Anolis sagrei: one gene and its partner. The protein of the gene in region 1 purifies or fractionates together with the protein of each later gene. This does not show direct contact. Links are inferred from orthologs where the notes say so. Each region holds a gene or a part of one and is shown on either strand. Other genes may lie near its edges. The genes, in order: LCK and UNC119.

Evidence for each region.
Region 2: the proteins of LCK (region 1) and UNC119 purify together in Homo sapiens (affinity purification with western blotting; 3 studies listed by BioGRID and IntAct, with this or other methods). This does not show direct contact. The link is inferred for Anolis sagrei from reciprocal best matches to the Homo sapiens genes LCK and UNC119.

What each region holds. Positions count from the first base shown.
Region 1 is NC_090034.1:83,356,584-83,364,545, forward strand, and holds the start of LCK (tyrosine-protein kinase Lck), read right to left. Parts: upstream 3,619-7,962; 5' UTR 3,559-3,618; coding exon 3,454-3,558; intron 669-3,453; coding exon 584-668; intron 1-583. UniProt on the Homo sapiens protein: Non-receptor tyrosine-protein kinase that plays an essential role in the selection and maturation of developing T-cells in the thymus and in the function of mature T-cells. Plays a key role in T-cell antigen receptor (TCR)-linked signal transduction pathways.
Region 2 is NC_090031.1:31,976,856-31,985,073, reverse strand, and holds the start of UNC119 (protein unc-119 homolog A), read right to left. Parts: upstream 3,619-8,218; 5' UTR 3,328-3,618; coding exon 3,018-3,327; intron 1-3,017. Other genes in the region: PIGS (GPI transamidase component PIG-S), read right to left, coding at 7,466-7,741. UniProt on the Homo sapiens protein: Involved in synaptic functions in photoreceptor cells, the signal transduction in immune cells as a Src family kinase activator, endosome recycling, the uptake of bacteria and endocytosis, protein trafficking in sensory neurons and as lipid-binding chaperone with specificity for a diverse subset of myristoylated proteins.

The DNA of each region.
Region 1 (7,962 bases):
AATCCAGTTCAAAGCTGATCATGTGGATTATATGACAGTGTAAAAGAGGCCATATATGCACTTTGGGTGCATCTACAATGTAGAAATAATGCGGTTTGAAACCACTTCAACTGCCGGAGCGCAATGCTTTGGAATCATAAGGAGTTGTAGTTTTGCAAGGTCTTTTGCTCTTAGTTCCAAATTGGTACTGAGGCTTCACAAAACTACAACTCCCAGGATCCCATAGCATTGAGCCATGGCAGTTCAAAGTGGTGCCAAAGTACATCAATTCCGCAGTCTAGATGCACTTTTTAATATGCAAGATGGTGTTGGAAATACAGATACAGCACTGCCATTATAAGGAACACATTAATGTGGGCATCAGCAGATTTAAGACCCCTTTTGCTCGGTATTGCCTTAAGAGTCCAAAGGATCAGATCCTAGTTCTTTCCTTCTCTAGTCTTTAAAGTGAGATGGAGGAATCTCTGCACAAGGGCATTGTCTTGAAAAGCACATATGTAATTATAACAATTCCATTTCTGCTGCCCCACACAATTCAGCTGCCTGAAGATGGAAGAGGAGGAAGGATGGTGATTGTATTTACCTTGAAGAGGTGAACTCGGAGGAGGTGTCATTACATCGGGAGACAAAAGAGGGTTGTAAAACTCGGAGCCATTCAAAGCCGGCCTCTGTAAACAAACAAACAAATAAACACCAAATATTCTTTCATGGCCAGGTTTTCCAACAAACTGGATCTCATGCTGAAGTTATTACATCCCAGTTCTTTTTTCTCTGGTCCTCAGATTGAGATGGAGGAATCTCAGAGCAAGATTACCGCCTTGAAAAGTGTGTGCAATTATACTACATTTTCATCATTCTTTCTTTCTGATGTTCACTTTGCATGGCAAACTCTGCCTGAGTGTGGTTACCAAGCCCATTTTAAACTGAATTTTAAATGTATTAGTTGGCATGATGATTTTAATATCTTTTAATCCTTGCTCTGTGTCTTTTAATATAATAAGTTTTAATGATCTTATGTTTTATCTAGGTATTTCAACTGCGTTATACTCTGCCTTGAGCCATGAGCATAAGTGGGTAGCAGTTGTTGTTGGATTTACAAAGTCTTCAGCCTCCTCTTATGCCTCCCCAAATGACAACTCTGAGGATTACATATTATTATTATTATTATTATTATTATTATTATCATCATCATCATCATCATCATTATTTTAAACACAACAAGATTAGTACACAGCAGACAAGATCACTATGCTGATTGTTGTATTGGATCACACGTTGGACACTTCCCAAGTGTCTAGGACTATGCGGATTATCTGCTTTGATAAACTTGAATAATGTATTGTTGTTATTATTATTATTGGGTTTACAAGGTCTTCAGCCTTCTCTTGTGTCTCCCCAAACTACAACAAGGATTCCATTTCATTATTATTGCAATGTACCAAAACCAAGATTGCAAAAACATCTGTTATAGAACTCCAGTATGCTGATGATAACGTAGTCTGTGCACATTCAGAATAAGTCCTACAAGCCATTCTAAACACCTTTGCAGAAGCATACGAGTAGCTCGGCCTCTCATTGAACATCAAGAAAACAAAAGTGCTCTTTCAGCAGGCACCAGCCAATCCCTCTGCAATGCCAGAAATACAGCTTAATGGTGTAACATTAGAAAATGTTGACCATTTCCACTACCTTGGCAGCCACCTCACCACAAAAGTCAACATTGACACTGAAATACAACATCACCTGAGCTCTGCGAGTGCAGCATTTTTCCAAATGAAGCAGAGAGTGTTTGAGGATCGGGACATCTGTAGGGATACCAAGGTGCTTGTTTATAAGCCATTGTCCTCCCAACCCTGCTATATGCCTGCGAAACCTGGATTGTCTACAGACATCATACTTCCATCAGTGTTGCCTCTGAAAAATCCTGCAAATCTCTTGGGAAGACAGGCGGACAAGTGTCAGCCTATGCCATCAACTCTGCTGGACTGGCCACGTTGTCCGAATGACCGATCACCATCTCCCAAAGTAGTTACTATACACACAACTCAAGAATGGAAAATGTAATGTTGGAAGACAGGAAAAGAGATTTAAAGATTCAAAGTGCTGGCATTGGCCTTTAAAGCCCTAAACGGTTCTGGCCCAACATATCTATCCGAACGTATCTCGGCCTATCAGCCCACCAGGACCCTAAGATCTTCGGGAGAGGCCCTACTCTCCATCCCACCTGCTTCACAGGTGCGGCTGGCGGGAACGAGAGACAGGGCCTTTTCTGTGGTGGCCCCGCGGCTTTGGAATGCCCTCCCTATAGAGATAAGATCAGCCTCCTCGCTGATGGTATTTCGAAAAAAACTGAAGACATGGATGTTTGAACAAGCATTCGGCTAATCCGGTGCGATGAAGTTCATGATCAAGGACTGGCAATTCACAGACAACGAAATTGGATTATGATTTTAGTTAAGAGATGCGTTGGTCTGTATTGGTGGCCCAATACTGTGTACTGTATATGTGTTTTATGCTTTTAATCTGAATATTGTTGTTTTTAAGTGTTGTAAACCGCAATGAGTCGCCGATTTAGGCTGAGATATTAGCGGTATACAAGTGCATTAATAAATAAATAAATAAATAAATAAATAAATAAATAAATAAGATGGTCTTAAAGCCAACCTTAAAAACTGTGGCATAAACACCGAGAACTGTGAAGCCCTGGCCTTTGAGTGCTCTAACTGGAGGTCAGCTGTGACCAGCAGTGCTGAGGAATTAGAAGCATGAATGAAGTGAGAAGGGGAGAAACATGCCAAAAGGAAGGCAGGTCAAACCAACTGCGACCAGGACTGCCTTCCACCTGGAAACTGATGTCCTCACTGCGGAAGAACGTGCAGGTCAAGAATAGGTCTCCGCAGCTACCTACAGACCCACAACGAAAACACTACACTTGGAGGACCATCATCCTCCAGCTACAAGGGATCGCCTAAGTAAGTAAGTATTAATAATATTAGTAATAATACTAATAATAATACTTACTTACTTAGACGATCCCTCGTAGCTGGAGGATGATGGTCCTCCAAGTGTAGTGTTTTCGTTGTGGGTCTGTAGGTAGCTACTATAAGTAGTATTAGTATTATTGGATTTGCAAGGCTTCCAGCCATCTCTTGGGTCTCCCCAAACTACAACCCTAAGGATTCCATTGCATTATTATTAATTATTATTATTGTATTTATTTGCTATATATATCCGGCTTTCTCTCTCTAAAAAGAGACCCAAAGTAGCTAACAACACTAAAAATAATAATGTTTTCATGATAGCACCAACTAGAAAATTATATTTATAACACAATAATGTTACGTTGTGTTATTAGCCATAGCATCCTGGCTGGGTCTGCCAAGCCTGGAGCCATCGCAGTCCAGGTGGTACCAAACTGCATTAACTCTCCAGTGCAGTTGCAAAACCTCTCACCTGGGGCTTGGTGTCTGGGTCGATGGGATAGTGACAGGTCTGACAGATCTCCAGGTCCCCTTCCTCCCAGCCCTCATCACAGTCCAAACTGCAGCAGCAGCCCATGCTTCTGGTGCACGACAGGAACGCAAGGGACACTGAGGCCCAGCTCCCTGCGCAAGCTTTTGTCTTCTGCAAAAAAGAAAGAGACGATATTGGAAAATCAAGAGGACTTTCAAGAGGTTCCCCAAAAGGCCTGATCAGAGCCAAGGAACAGAGACCACTTGGGTGTGATCCTGGATTCATCGCTGAGCCTGGAACCTCAGGTCTCAGCGGTGACCAGGGGAGTATTTGCACAGTTAAAACTTGTGCGCCAGCTGTGCCCATACCTTGGGAAGTCTGACTTGGCCACAGTAGTCCACGCTCTGGTTATATCCCGTATAGACTACTGCAACGTGCTCTACGTGGGGTTGCCTTTGAAGACGGTCCAGAAGCTTCAACTAGTCCAACGAACGGCAGCCAGGTTGCTAACAGGAGCGGCCCTCTTGTTGCGCCAGCTCCACTGGCTGCCGGTTTGCTACTGGGCCCAATTCAAAGTGCTGGCTTTGGCCTTTAAAGCCCTAAATGGTTCTGGTCCAATTTACCTGTCCAAAAGCATCTCCCCTTATGAACCTTCAAGGACCCTGAGGTCATCTGGGGAGGCCTTGCTCTCAGTCCTGCCTTCGACACAAGCACATCTGGCGGGGATAAGAGACAGGGCCTTCTCAGTGGTGGCCCCTCAGCTATGAAACACCCTCCCTAGGGAGATCAGATCGGCTCTCTCCCTACTAATGTTTCGGAGGCAAGTTAAAACATGGCTATTCAAGCAAGCGTTTACAAATACAGAGTAAATGACATAGAAAATTGAATGACTTGATGACGGAATTGGACAATGCTTGATAATAAGGAGACGCTAATGATGTTGTTATTATTGTTGTTTTATACTGTTTTAATGTTTTAACTTGTTTTGTGATATTATATGTACTGTTTTGTTGGAAACCACCTTGAGTCGCCGATTGCCTGAGAAAGGCGGTATACAAATACAGTAAACAAACAAACAAACAAATAAATATCAAACAGGTCATCCACATTATCCGCTTTGAATTGGATTATACAAGTCTACACTGCAATACAATCCAGTTCAAAGCAGATCAGATTTACATGGCAGTGCAGATGGGGCCCCAGTTCAAAGCAGATAATCTGGATTTTATATGGCAGTTCAGATGGGGCATCATATAATCCAGTTCAAAACAGATCATGACCCCTTTTACACTGCCATATAAAATCAAGATTGTCTGCTTTGAACTGGATTATATGGCAGTGTAGACTCATATAATCCACTTCAAAGCAAATAATGTGGATTATCTGCTTTGATAAACTGGGTTATATGGAAGTCTAGAAGGAGCCAATGTTGATTTTATATGGTAGTGTAGGAAGGGTCTCATATAATCTAGTTCAAAGCAGATGTGGTTTATCTGCATTTATAAAGTGGATTATATGGCAGTGTAAAAGGAGCCTTAGAAACAATTTGCAAACTTGCATCACATTGCAGAAGCAGTGAAATCAATCACATTTTGTCCTCCAAATCTGAGGGCTAAAGTGATGTCAATGCAGTGACCAAGAGGAAACCCACAATCTCAGCCACAAACTCATAAACCTTGACATTCTAAATATACTCGCTTGGCGACCTGGCAATGACCGGGTTATTTGAAAAGGGCATTTGACGGCTGGGTTTTTTCTTGGCTGGCTTCAGTGCTCTCTGGAGAAGGGTGAACTACAACTCCTATGTGCCAAGGTCAATCATCCCGAAACCCTGCCAGTATTCACAATTGGCCATGTTGGGTCTGTGTGCCAAGTTTGGTCAAGATCCGTCATTGGCTGGGTTCAGGGCTCTCTGGATAAAGGTGAACTACAACTCCCATATGCAGAGGACAATCACCCTCAAACCAGGCCTGTATACACAGAGGGCCATGTTGGGTCTGTGTGCCAAGTTTGGTCCAGATCTGACATCGGCTAGGTTCAGTGCTCTCTGGATAAGGATGAACTACAACTCTCAGATCCAAGGTCAATCACTCCCAAAATAAGGGAAACCAGGACTGTGTTTGGAACAAAGTGGGAAAATGGGGTGAAATTAGGACTTTTTTTCAGCGATAAGATGAGTATTCCAATTGGTATTTGCCAAATTGTGACCATTGCAATGTATAGCATTACACACTGATATGATACAGCCTGCATTATTATATACCAAGGACTCACTTCTTAATATTTTGTAATCTGTTTAATGAATATTTAGAGGCACTGAACCCCTTATTTGGAATTCTGAACTCATCCAAAATTCAAAATTGTCCAAATGACATTATTATAATCCTTAATCATTAATTTATATTTATATTTTTACATTTATTATATGTATTATTATTAAATGTGTTCTTATTATTATGCAAAAACTTTGCTTTCTGATGGTTCAGAGGACACTGACTTGACTCCATGCACAAAATCATTAAAAATACGGCGTATAAAATAACCTATAGACTATAATAGCATATAAAATGTATATGAAACACAAAAGAATGACATGTTTAGTCTTATGTCCCATCTCCAAGATAATCACAATTCATATATATACATATCTATATTTATATGGATATGCAAATGTAGAGATCCCTAAACCTGAGGGGGAAATATCCCAAATACTTTTGCTCCCAACCATTTCAGAGACTCAACATTTATACAGTAATTAGAATATTGCAGCAAATTAATTGAAATAGTAGGGCACACGGCTTTGTCACTTTCTCTGATTATGAAAAATAATTAAAATTAACATTATAACATTAATGTTAAGACCAAGCCAGGGGGAGTTGTGTCATGTGTTACGTATTTTAATAGGTTTTTCGTGAATTTAGTTCATTCTTTTTAGTAGTCCTGGGTTTAGTTTTAGTGTTTATATGCTTTAGATTTGTAATTGAACAATACATTGTTTTCATTTCAGTATTTATTGGGTTGCTGTGAGTTTTCTGAGGTGTATGACCATGTTCTAGAAGCATTCTCTCCTAACGTTTCGCCTGCATCTATGGCAGGCATCCTCAGAGGTTGTGATGTCTGTTGGAAACTAGGCAAGTGGGATTTATATATCTGTGGAACGTCCAGGGTGGGAGAAAGAACTCTTGTCTGATTGAGGCAAGTGTGAATGCTGCAATTGATCACCTTGATTAGCATTGAATGGCCTTGCAGCTTCAAAGCCAGACTGCTTCCTACCTGGGGGAATCTGTTCGGAGGTGTTAGCTGGCCCTGTCAGGAATTCCCATTTATGAGTGTTGTTCTTTATTCACTGTCCTGATTTTAGATTTTTTTTTAAACACTGGTAGCCATATTTTGTTCAATCTATTGTCGAAGGCTTTCATGGCTGGAATCATTGGGTTGTTGTTGGTTTTTTCGAGCTATATGGCCATGTTCTAGAGGCATTTTCTCCTGACGTTTCGCCTGCATCTATGGCAAGCATCCTCAGAGGTAGTGAGTTCTGCTGGAACTAGGAAAAAGGGGTTTTTATATCTGTGGAATGACCAGGGTGGGACAAAGGACTCTTGTCTGTTGGAGCTAGGTGTGAAAGTTTCAACTGACTACCATGATTAGCATTTGATTGCCTGGCAGTTCCTGGGGCAATCTTTTGTTGAGAGGTGATTAGATGTCCTTGTTTGTTTCCACTCTGTTGTTGTGCTCTACATAGGGACCACCAAACGCAGCGCTCAAACACGAATCAAGGAACATGAAAGGCACTGCAGACTACTTCAACCAGAGAAGTCAGACATAGCAGAGCACCTGATGAACCAACCTGGACATAGCATATTATTTGAGAACACAGAAATATTGGACCACTCCAACAACCACCATGTCAGACTACACAGAGACGCCATTGAAATCCACAAGCATGTGGACAATTTCAACATAAAGGAGGAAACATGAAAATGAACACAATCTGGCTACCAGTATTAAAAAACTCTAAAATTATAACAGCAAAATAACAGAGAGGAAACAAACAAGGACATCTCAACAAAAGATTGCTCCAGGCACTGCCAGGCAATCAAATGCTAATCATGGTAGTCAGTTGAAACATTCACACCTAGCTCCAACAGACAAGAGTCCTTTGTCGAACCCTGGTCATTCCACAGATATAAAAAAACCCTTTTCCTAGTTCCAACAGACCTCACTACCTCTGAGGATGCTTGCCATAGATGCAGGCGAAACGTCAGGAGAAAATGCCTCTAGAACATGGCCATATAGCCCGGAAAAACCTACAACAACCCATATTTTGTTCATTTTAATAGTTTCCTCCCTTCTGTAGAAATTGTCCGCATGCTTGCGGATTTCAAGCTTTTGTATGTTGTGTTTCCAGTCTTTGTGACACTCAGAAATACTTCCCTCTCTCCTTTTCATATTGTTTTTCAACGTTTATCCCATCTGAGTGTTGGAAAGACTCTGGAAACACAACATAAC
Region 2 (8,218 bases), on another chromosome or scaffold:
TTTGGTTTTGTAATTCCACCTATATAATGTGTATCAGGGATGGGGCTTAATTTCGTCGTACGGTGTCCAGTGACAACAAAGTTATTCTAGTCTATTATTGCCTCCAAAATAGGAGTCGTCCTCCTTTACTGGAGGCAAGGGGGGACCCTTGTCTGAACCCCATTGAGTTCAATCCTGGCCCTGTATTCTCCCCAAAGTAAGAAGGTCCTTCTCCCAATGGAGATGTTTAAGAGGACCCTTTTCCAAAGTCAGTGGCATGCAATGCTGAGCCTAAAAGAGGGCCCTTCTCACAAATGGAAAAGCTTTCGAGGTGATCCTTGCACGAAACCCATTTGCATTCACCCCTTCATTACACCCCCAAAAATAAGACCCTTCCCCCAAGTGGAGAGCTTTAAAGGGTACCCTCAAGTGAAGCCCGTTCCACGCAATTCGCCACCCGAAAAAGGATACTTCTTCCTAATGGACAGCTTGAAAGAGAACCCTTCCTCTAAAGTCCACAGCACACAATCTGCCCCTTGATCTCCCCCCAAAAGAGAAGGTATATCTCCCAAAACGGAGAGGTTTTTGGGGGCCCTGTCTCCCAAATGGAAGAGGTTTAAAGGGGGCCTTTTAGTGAACTCCTTTGCTTGCAATACATCCCTTTATCCCCCCACCCCCAAAGGAAGGCCTTCCTTCCTTCCTAGAGTTGATAACTGCCAGGTGGAAATGGAAAGGTTTGGGAGGACCCTCTTCCTGAACCCATTGCTTGCAAATTTCCCCTTTTTTCTCCTTCAAAATGACTCAATCCTTCTCCCAAAGGGATGAGCTTCAAAGGACATTCCAGTGCTTGCACTTCACCCTCTTATCCCCCCAAAAGAGGGCCCTGTTTCTTTCCTAGTGTTGATAATTGCAAGGCAAATTGAGAGGTTTGGGGGGACCCTCTTCCCAAGCCTATTGCTTGCAATTACCCCCCCCCCCCCCACCAAAGGAGATGAACCTTTCCCCAAAGGATGAGCTTCAAAGGGGACCCTGTCACTTGCAACCCACCCCTTTGTCTCTCCAGAAGAGGGCCCTATTTCCTTCCTAGTGTTATAACTGAAACACAAATGGAGAGATTTGGGGGGACCCTCCTCCGAAGCCCATTGCTTGCAGTTATCTAATATATTTCCCCCCCAAAATGAGGCTATCCTGCTACCAAAAGGATGTGCTTCAAAGGGAACCCCATTACTTGCCATTCATCCCTCTCTCTCTCCAAAAGAGGGTCCTGTTTCCTTCCCAGTGTTGATATATCTGCAGGGCGCAAATGTAGAGCTTGGGGGGGGGGGGGGCTCTTCCAAAGCCAAATACTTGCAAATTTCTTTCTTTCCCTCCCAAAATGAGACTATCCTGCTCCCAAAAGGATGAGCTTCAAGGGAGATTCCATTACTTGCATTTCCCCCCCTCTCTCTCCAAAAGACCTCATTGATTGCATACACCCCTTTATCCCCCCCAAAAGAGGGCCCTGTTTCCTCTCTAGTGTTGATATCTGCAGGATGCAAATGGAGAGGTTTGGGGGGACCCTCTTCCCAAGCCTATTTCTTGAAGTTAACTAATATATTTCCCCCCAAAAAGGACATGAACCTTTTACTAAAAGGATGAGCTTCAACAGGGACCCCATTACTTGCAATTCACCCCTCTGTCTCTCCAAAAGAGGGTCTTGTTTCCTTCCTAGTGTTGATATCTGCAGGGTGCAAATGGAGAGGTTTGGGGGGACCCTCTTGCCAAGCCTATTGCTTGCAAATTTCCCTTTATTTCCGCCCCAAATGGGGATGAGCCTTTCTCTAAAAGGATGAGCTTCAAAGGGGACCCCATTACTTGCAACTCACTCCTCTCTCTCTCTCCCAAAGAGGGCCTTGAGTCCTTCCTAGTGTTGATATCTGCAGGGTGCAAATGGAGAGGTTTGGGGGGACCCTCTTGCCAAGCCTATTGCTTGCAAATTTCCCTTTATTTCCGCCCCAAATGGGGATGAGCCTTTCTCTAAAAGGATGAGCTTCAAAGGGGACCCCATTACTTGCAACTCACTCCTCTCTCTCTCTCCCAAAGAGGGCCTTGAGTCCTTCCTAGTGTTGATATCTGCAGGGCGCAAATGGAGAGGTTTGGGGGGACCCTCTTCCGAAGCCCATTTCTTGAAATTATCTAATATATTCCCCCCAAAAAGGAGATGAAACGTTTCCTAAAAGGATGAGCTTCAATGGGGACCCAATTACTTGCAATTCACCCCTCTGTCTCTCCAAAAGAGGGCCTTGTTTGCTTCCTAGTTGATATCTGCAAGGTGCAAATGGAGAGGTTTGGGGGGACCCTCTTGCCAAGCCTATTGCTTGCAAATTTCCCTTTATTTCCGCCCCAAATGGGGATGAGCCTTTTCCTCAAAGGATGAGCTTCAAGGGGGACCCCATTATTTGCAACTCACTCCTTTCTCTCTCCCCCAAAGAAGGCCTTGTTTCCTTCCTTGTTGATATCAGCAAGGTGCAAATGGAGAGGTGGGGGGGGGGACCCTCTTCTCAAGCCCATTGCTCACAAAGTACCCCATATTTTCCCCCCAAATGGGGATGAGCCTTTCCCTAAAAGGATAAGCTTCAAAGGGGACCCCATTATTTGCAACTCGCCCCTCTGTCTCTCTCCCAAAGAGGGCCTTGTTTCCTTCCTAGTTCATATCTGCAAGGCGCAAATGGAGAGGTATGGAGGGACCCTCTTCCCAAGCCCATTGCTCATAAAGTACCCCATATTTCCCCCCAAAAGGGGAAGAACCTTTTCCCAAAAGGATAAGCTTCAAAGGGGACCCCATTACTTGCAACTCACCCCTCTGTCTCTCTCCCAAAGAGGGCCTTGTTTCCTTCCTAGTGTTGCTATCTGCAGGGCGCAAATGGAGAGGTATGGGGGGACCTTCTTCCCAAGCCCATTGCTTTGTGTTAACTAATACATTTCCCCCCCAAAATGAGACGACCCTCTCCCCAAAAGGATGGGCTTCAAGGGAGACCCTTCTTTCCTTCCTTCCTTACCGGAGGTGATCTTGGGGAGGCCCAAGACATCCTCGGGGCTGATGCTGGCCTTGCGGAGGAGCTCCTCCTCGCTGCAAAGGGCCGAGGAAGAGGCCCCCGAGGAAGAGGAGGAGGAGGAGGCCGAAGATGGGGGGGCAGCCGCCGCCGCTCCCCCGGGGCCCATTCCTCCTCCTCCTGCGGTGCCAGCGCTGCTCCCCTTCTTCACCTTCATCTTCCCACCGGAGACGATGCCGCTTCTGCTTCGGGTCACAGAAGGGAGCGGATCTGCAAAGGAAGAAGAGGAGGAGGAAGAGGAGAGAGAATGGCTCATCCCCCCTTAAGCGCCTTTGCTGCAAATCCGCCGCCCCGCCCCTCGGGGAAAGGGGAGGAGCCAAAGCAGGCAGGGGGGAGGGAAGGAAAGAAGGGAGGGTGTCCTCTGAGCATGTGCAGAGTGCCAAGCAAAGCAAGAGGAATCAGAGAAGGAGGGAGGCGCTTCCTGGCTGGGAAAAGGGATGCTGGGGGGAGAGGTGGACATGCAAGTAGGGGAGGGGCTTGGGAATGTGTCCTCTGAGCATGTGCAGAGTGCCAAGCAAGGCAAGAGACATCAGAATGGAGGGAGGAGCCTCCTGGCTGGGAAAAGAGATGTTGAGCATGTGCAGAGTGCCAAGCAAGGCAAGAGGAATCAGAAAAGGAAGGAGGAGCTTCCTGGCTGGGAAAAGTTGGACATGCAAGGAGGGGAGGGGCTTGGGAATATGTCCTCTGAGCATGTGCAGAGTGCCATTGGAGTGCCAACTGTTGGAGGGCCGGATTATTACCCAGGCTCTTCCTGGGTGGGAAGAGATGGACATGCAAGGAGGGGAGGGGCTTGGGAATGTGTCCTCTGAGCATGTGCAGAGTGCCAAGCAAGGCCAGAGGAATCAGAAAGGAGGGAGGACCCTCCTGGCTGGGAAAAGGGATGCTGAGCATGTGCAGAGTGCCAAGCCAGGCAAGAGGAATCAGAAAAGGAGGGAGGCGCTTCCTAGCTGGGAAAAGGGATGCTGGGGGGAGAGGTGGAAAATGCAAGGAGGGGAGGGGCTTGGGAATGTGTCCCCTGAGCACGTGCAGAGTGCCAAGCAAAACAAGAGGAATCAGAAAAGGGAGGAGGGGCTTCCTGGCTGGGAAAAGGGATGCTGGGGGAAGAGATGGACATGCAAGAAATTTATTTATTTATTTATTTAAACCATTAAAGAAGGGAGGGGTTTGGGAATGTGTCCTCTGAGCATGTGCTGAGTGCCAAGCAAGGCAAGAGAAATCAGAATGGAGGGAGGAGCCTCCTGGGTGGGAAAAGATGGACATGCAAGGAGGAGAGGGGCTTGGGAATGTGTCCTCTGAGCATGTGCAGAGTGCCAAAGAAGGCAATAGGAATCAGAAAAGGAAGGAGGGGCTTCCTGGCTGGGAAAAGATGGACATGCAAGGAGGGAAAGGGCTTGGGAATGTGTCCTCTGAGCATGTGCAGAGTGCCAAGCAAGGCCAGAGGAATCAGAAAAGGAGGGAGGAGCTTCCTGGCTGGGAAAAGTGGTGCTGGGGGGAGAGGTGGACATACAAGGAGGGGAGGGGCTTGGGAATGTCTCCTCTGAGTATGTGCAGAGTGCCAAGCAAAGCAAGAGACATCAGAATGGAGGGAGGAGTCTCCTGGCTGGGAAAAGGGATGCTGGGGGGAGAGGTGGACATGCAAGGAGGGGAGGGGCTTGGGAATGTGTCCCCTGAGCATGTGCAGAGAGCCAAGCAAGGCAAGAGGAATCAGAAAAGGGAGGAGGGGCTTCCTGGCTGGGAAAAGGGATGCTGGGGGGAGAGATGGACATACAAGAAATGTATTTATTTATTTATTTAAACTATTAAAGAAGGGTTTGGGAATGTCTCCTCTGAGCATGTGCAGAGTGCCAAGCAAAGCAAGAGGAATCAGAATGGAGGGAGGAGCCTCCTGGGTGGGAAGAGATGGACATGCAAGGAGGGAAGGGGCTTGGGAATGTGTCCTCTGAGCATGTGCAGAGTGCCAAGCAAAGCAAGAGACATCAGAAAAGGGGGGAGGGGCTTCCTGGCTGGGAAAAGATGGACATGCAAGGAGGGGAGGGGTTTGGGAATGTGTCCCCTGAGCATGTGCAGAGTGCCAAGCAAGGAAAGAGGAATCAGAAAAGGAGGGAGGAGCTTCCTGGCTGGGAAAAGGGATGCTGGGGGGAGAGGTGAACATGCAAGGCGGGGAGGGGCTTGGGAATGTGTCCCCTGAGCATGTGCAGAGTGCCAAGCAAGGCAAGAGGAAGGAGAAAAAGAAGGAGGAGCCTCCTGGCTGGGAAAAGGGATGCTGGGGGAAGAGACAGACATGCAGACAGGGGAGGAGCTTGGGAATGTGTCCTCTGAGCATGAGCAGAGTGCCACGCAAGGCAAGAGGAATCAGAAAAGGGAGGAGGGGCTTCCTGGCTGGGAAAAGTTGGACATGCAAGGAGGGAAGGGGCTTGGGAATATGTCCTCTGAGCATGTGCAGAGTGCCAAGCAAGGCAAGAGAACATTTCTCCTGATGTTTCGCCTGCATCTATGGCAAGCATCCTCAGAGGTAGTGAGGTCTGTTGGAAATAGGACAATGGGTTTATATATCTGTGGAATGGCTGGTGTGGGACAAAGGACTTTTGTCTGCTGGAACTAGGTGTGAATGTTTCAACTGACCACCTTCATTAGCATTTGAAGGCCTGGCTGAGCCTGGGAAAATCTTTTGTTGAGAGGTGTTAAGATGTGCCTGGTTGTTTCCTCTCTGCTGTTTTGCTGTTGTAATTTTAGAGTTTTTTAATACTGGTAGCCAGATTTTGTTCATTTTCATGGTCTCTTCCTTCCTGTTGAAATTGTCCACATGCTTGTGGCGTTCAATGGCTTCTCTGTGTAGTCTGACATGGTGGTTGTTGGAGTGGTCCAGCATTTCTGTGTTCTCAAATAATATGCTGTGTCCAGGCTGGTTCATCAGGTGCTCCACTATGACTGACTTCTCTGGTTGAAGTAGTCTGCAGTGCCTTTTGTGTTCCTTGATGCGTGTCTGGGCAATGCTGCATTTGGTGGTCCCTCTGTAGACTTGTCCACAGCTGCATGGTATACGGTAGACTCCTGCAGAGGTGAGAGGATCCCTCTTGTCCTTTGCTGAACGTAGCATTTGTTGGATTTTCTTGGTGGGTTTGTAGATTGTTTGTATGTTGTGTTTCCTCATCAGCTTCCCAATGCGGTCAGTGGTTCCCTTGATGTATGGCAGGAACACTTTTCCTCTGGGTGGATCTTCATCTTGACTCTCGTGGCTTGTTCTTGGTCTTGCAGCTCTTCTGATGTCTGAGGTGGAGTATCCATTGGCCTGGAGAGCCCAGTTGAGGGGGTTCAGTTCATCTTGGAGGAGGTGGGCTTCCCAGATTATTTTTGCACGGTCTGCCAAGGCTTTAATGGGGCTTCTTTTTTGACTTGGGTGATGGAGTTTTGATGTAGATCTCTATCTGTGTGTGTGTGTTTTCTGTAGACGGTGTGACCCAATTGTTGATCTGGTTTGCGGATAACTAAGACATCTAGAAAAGGCAGTCTAATAATAAACAATAATAATTTCTAATACTCTAGGCCCTTGGGAAGAGTCTGATATTCAGAGATGAAGCCCAGACACTTGGAGTTAATGTGCGCTGTGTTATTGTGGACATGCTAATAAATAATAATAATAATAATAATAATAATAATAATAATAACAACAACAATAATACGACTAATAATAGATAAACAAAGGTTCAACAAGGGGACAAAAATGCAGAGGAAGGAGGTGATGCACACAACCTCTTAGATCAGGTGTCCTCAAACTTTTTAACCGGAGGGCCAGGTCACAGTCCCTCCAACTGTTGGAGGGCCAGATTATCATTTGAAAAAAACATGAATGAATGCACACTACACATACCTTATTTGTAGTGCAAAAAACACTTAAAAACAATACAATAATTAAAATGAAGAACAATTTAAGCAAGTATAAACTTATTAGTATATCAATGGGAAGTGTGGGCTTGCTTTTGGCTGGTGAGATAGGATTGCTGTTGTTGTTGTTGTTTTTGGGTGCTTTCAAGTTGTTTCAGACTTAGGTTGACCCTGAACAAGGGCCAGGTAAATGACCTTGGAGGACCGTATTCGGCCCTTGGGCCTTAGTTTGAAGAACCTTGTCCTAGATACTTGGAATCAACACAAATGTGAATATATTTCCTTTTACACCCAATTGTCTTTTATTTCAAACCCAAGTGCAAAATCAACCCGAATAAATAAATAAAATGCAAGGAGGGAGACGTGATGATAGCCGGAAAGTTGCTTTCAGGAGACGGACTTTTGGGGCACCAAAGAAGTGACTTTTTGGAAGAATTTTGTTTCCTTCCGACCTGTCCATTGGGGGATGCTGGGAGCTGCTGTGCAAAGGACAGCCAGCCGGCCTCTGGCGCTCAGTCCACTTTGCCCGGCTCCTTTTTGGTGGCCCGGCTCTCCCGCAGGATCTTGGCCATGGAGAGGAGGATGGGGACGGCCATAGGGAGGAAGAGCGGGATGTAAATGGCAAACTTCTGGTCGTCGGGGAAGTAGAGGAGGTGGAGGAGCGAAGGGTGGAAGAAGGCCCGCTCCGAGGATGTGACGGCCGCCTTGCTGGCCAGGAAGGCCGCCTCCAGGCGCCCGGCCTCCAGTTCCCGCAGGGCCTCCTCCGCAGACCCCACCGCATGGTAGACCTGCATCAAAGCAGGGAGAAACCCAGAATGAATGACTAGACCACCGCCTGGCACCACAGGACCAAGCAAAGGCCTAGGAAGGACCTCTTTCAGACCATTGGAACCTAGGGGAGGACGTATTATAGATCAACAACACCGTGGATAATAGGGAACTGCTGAAACAAATGACTTACGGCTCAAGGAGAACATATAGTTGCACGGAAGGACCTGCACAATGCCTAGAGGGGACATATTATGGATCAACAACACCATGGATAATAGAGAACTCTGCTGAAACGAATGACTTTCGGCTCAAGGAGAACGTATAGTTACATGGAAGGACCTACACAATGCCTAAAGCGGACATATTATGGATCAACAACACCATGGATAATAGAGAACTCTGCTGAAACTAATGACTTTCGGCTCAAGGAGAACGTAGTTACATGGAAGGACCTACACAATGCCTAGAGGGGACGTATTATGGATCAACAACAC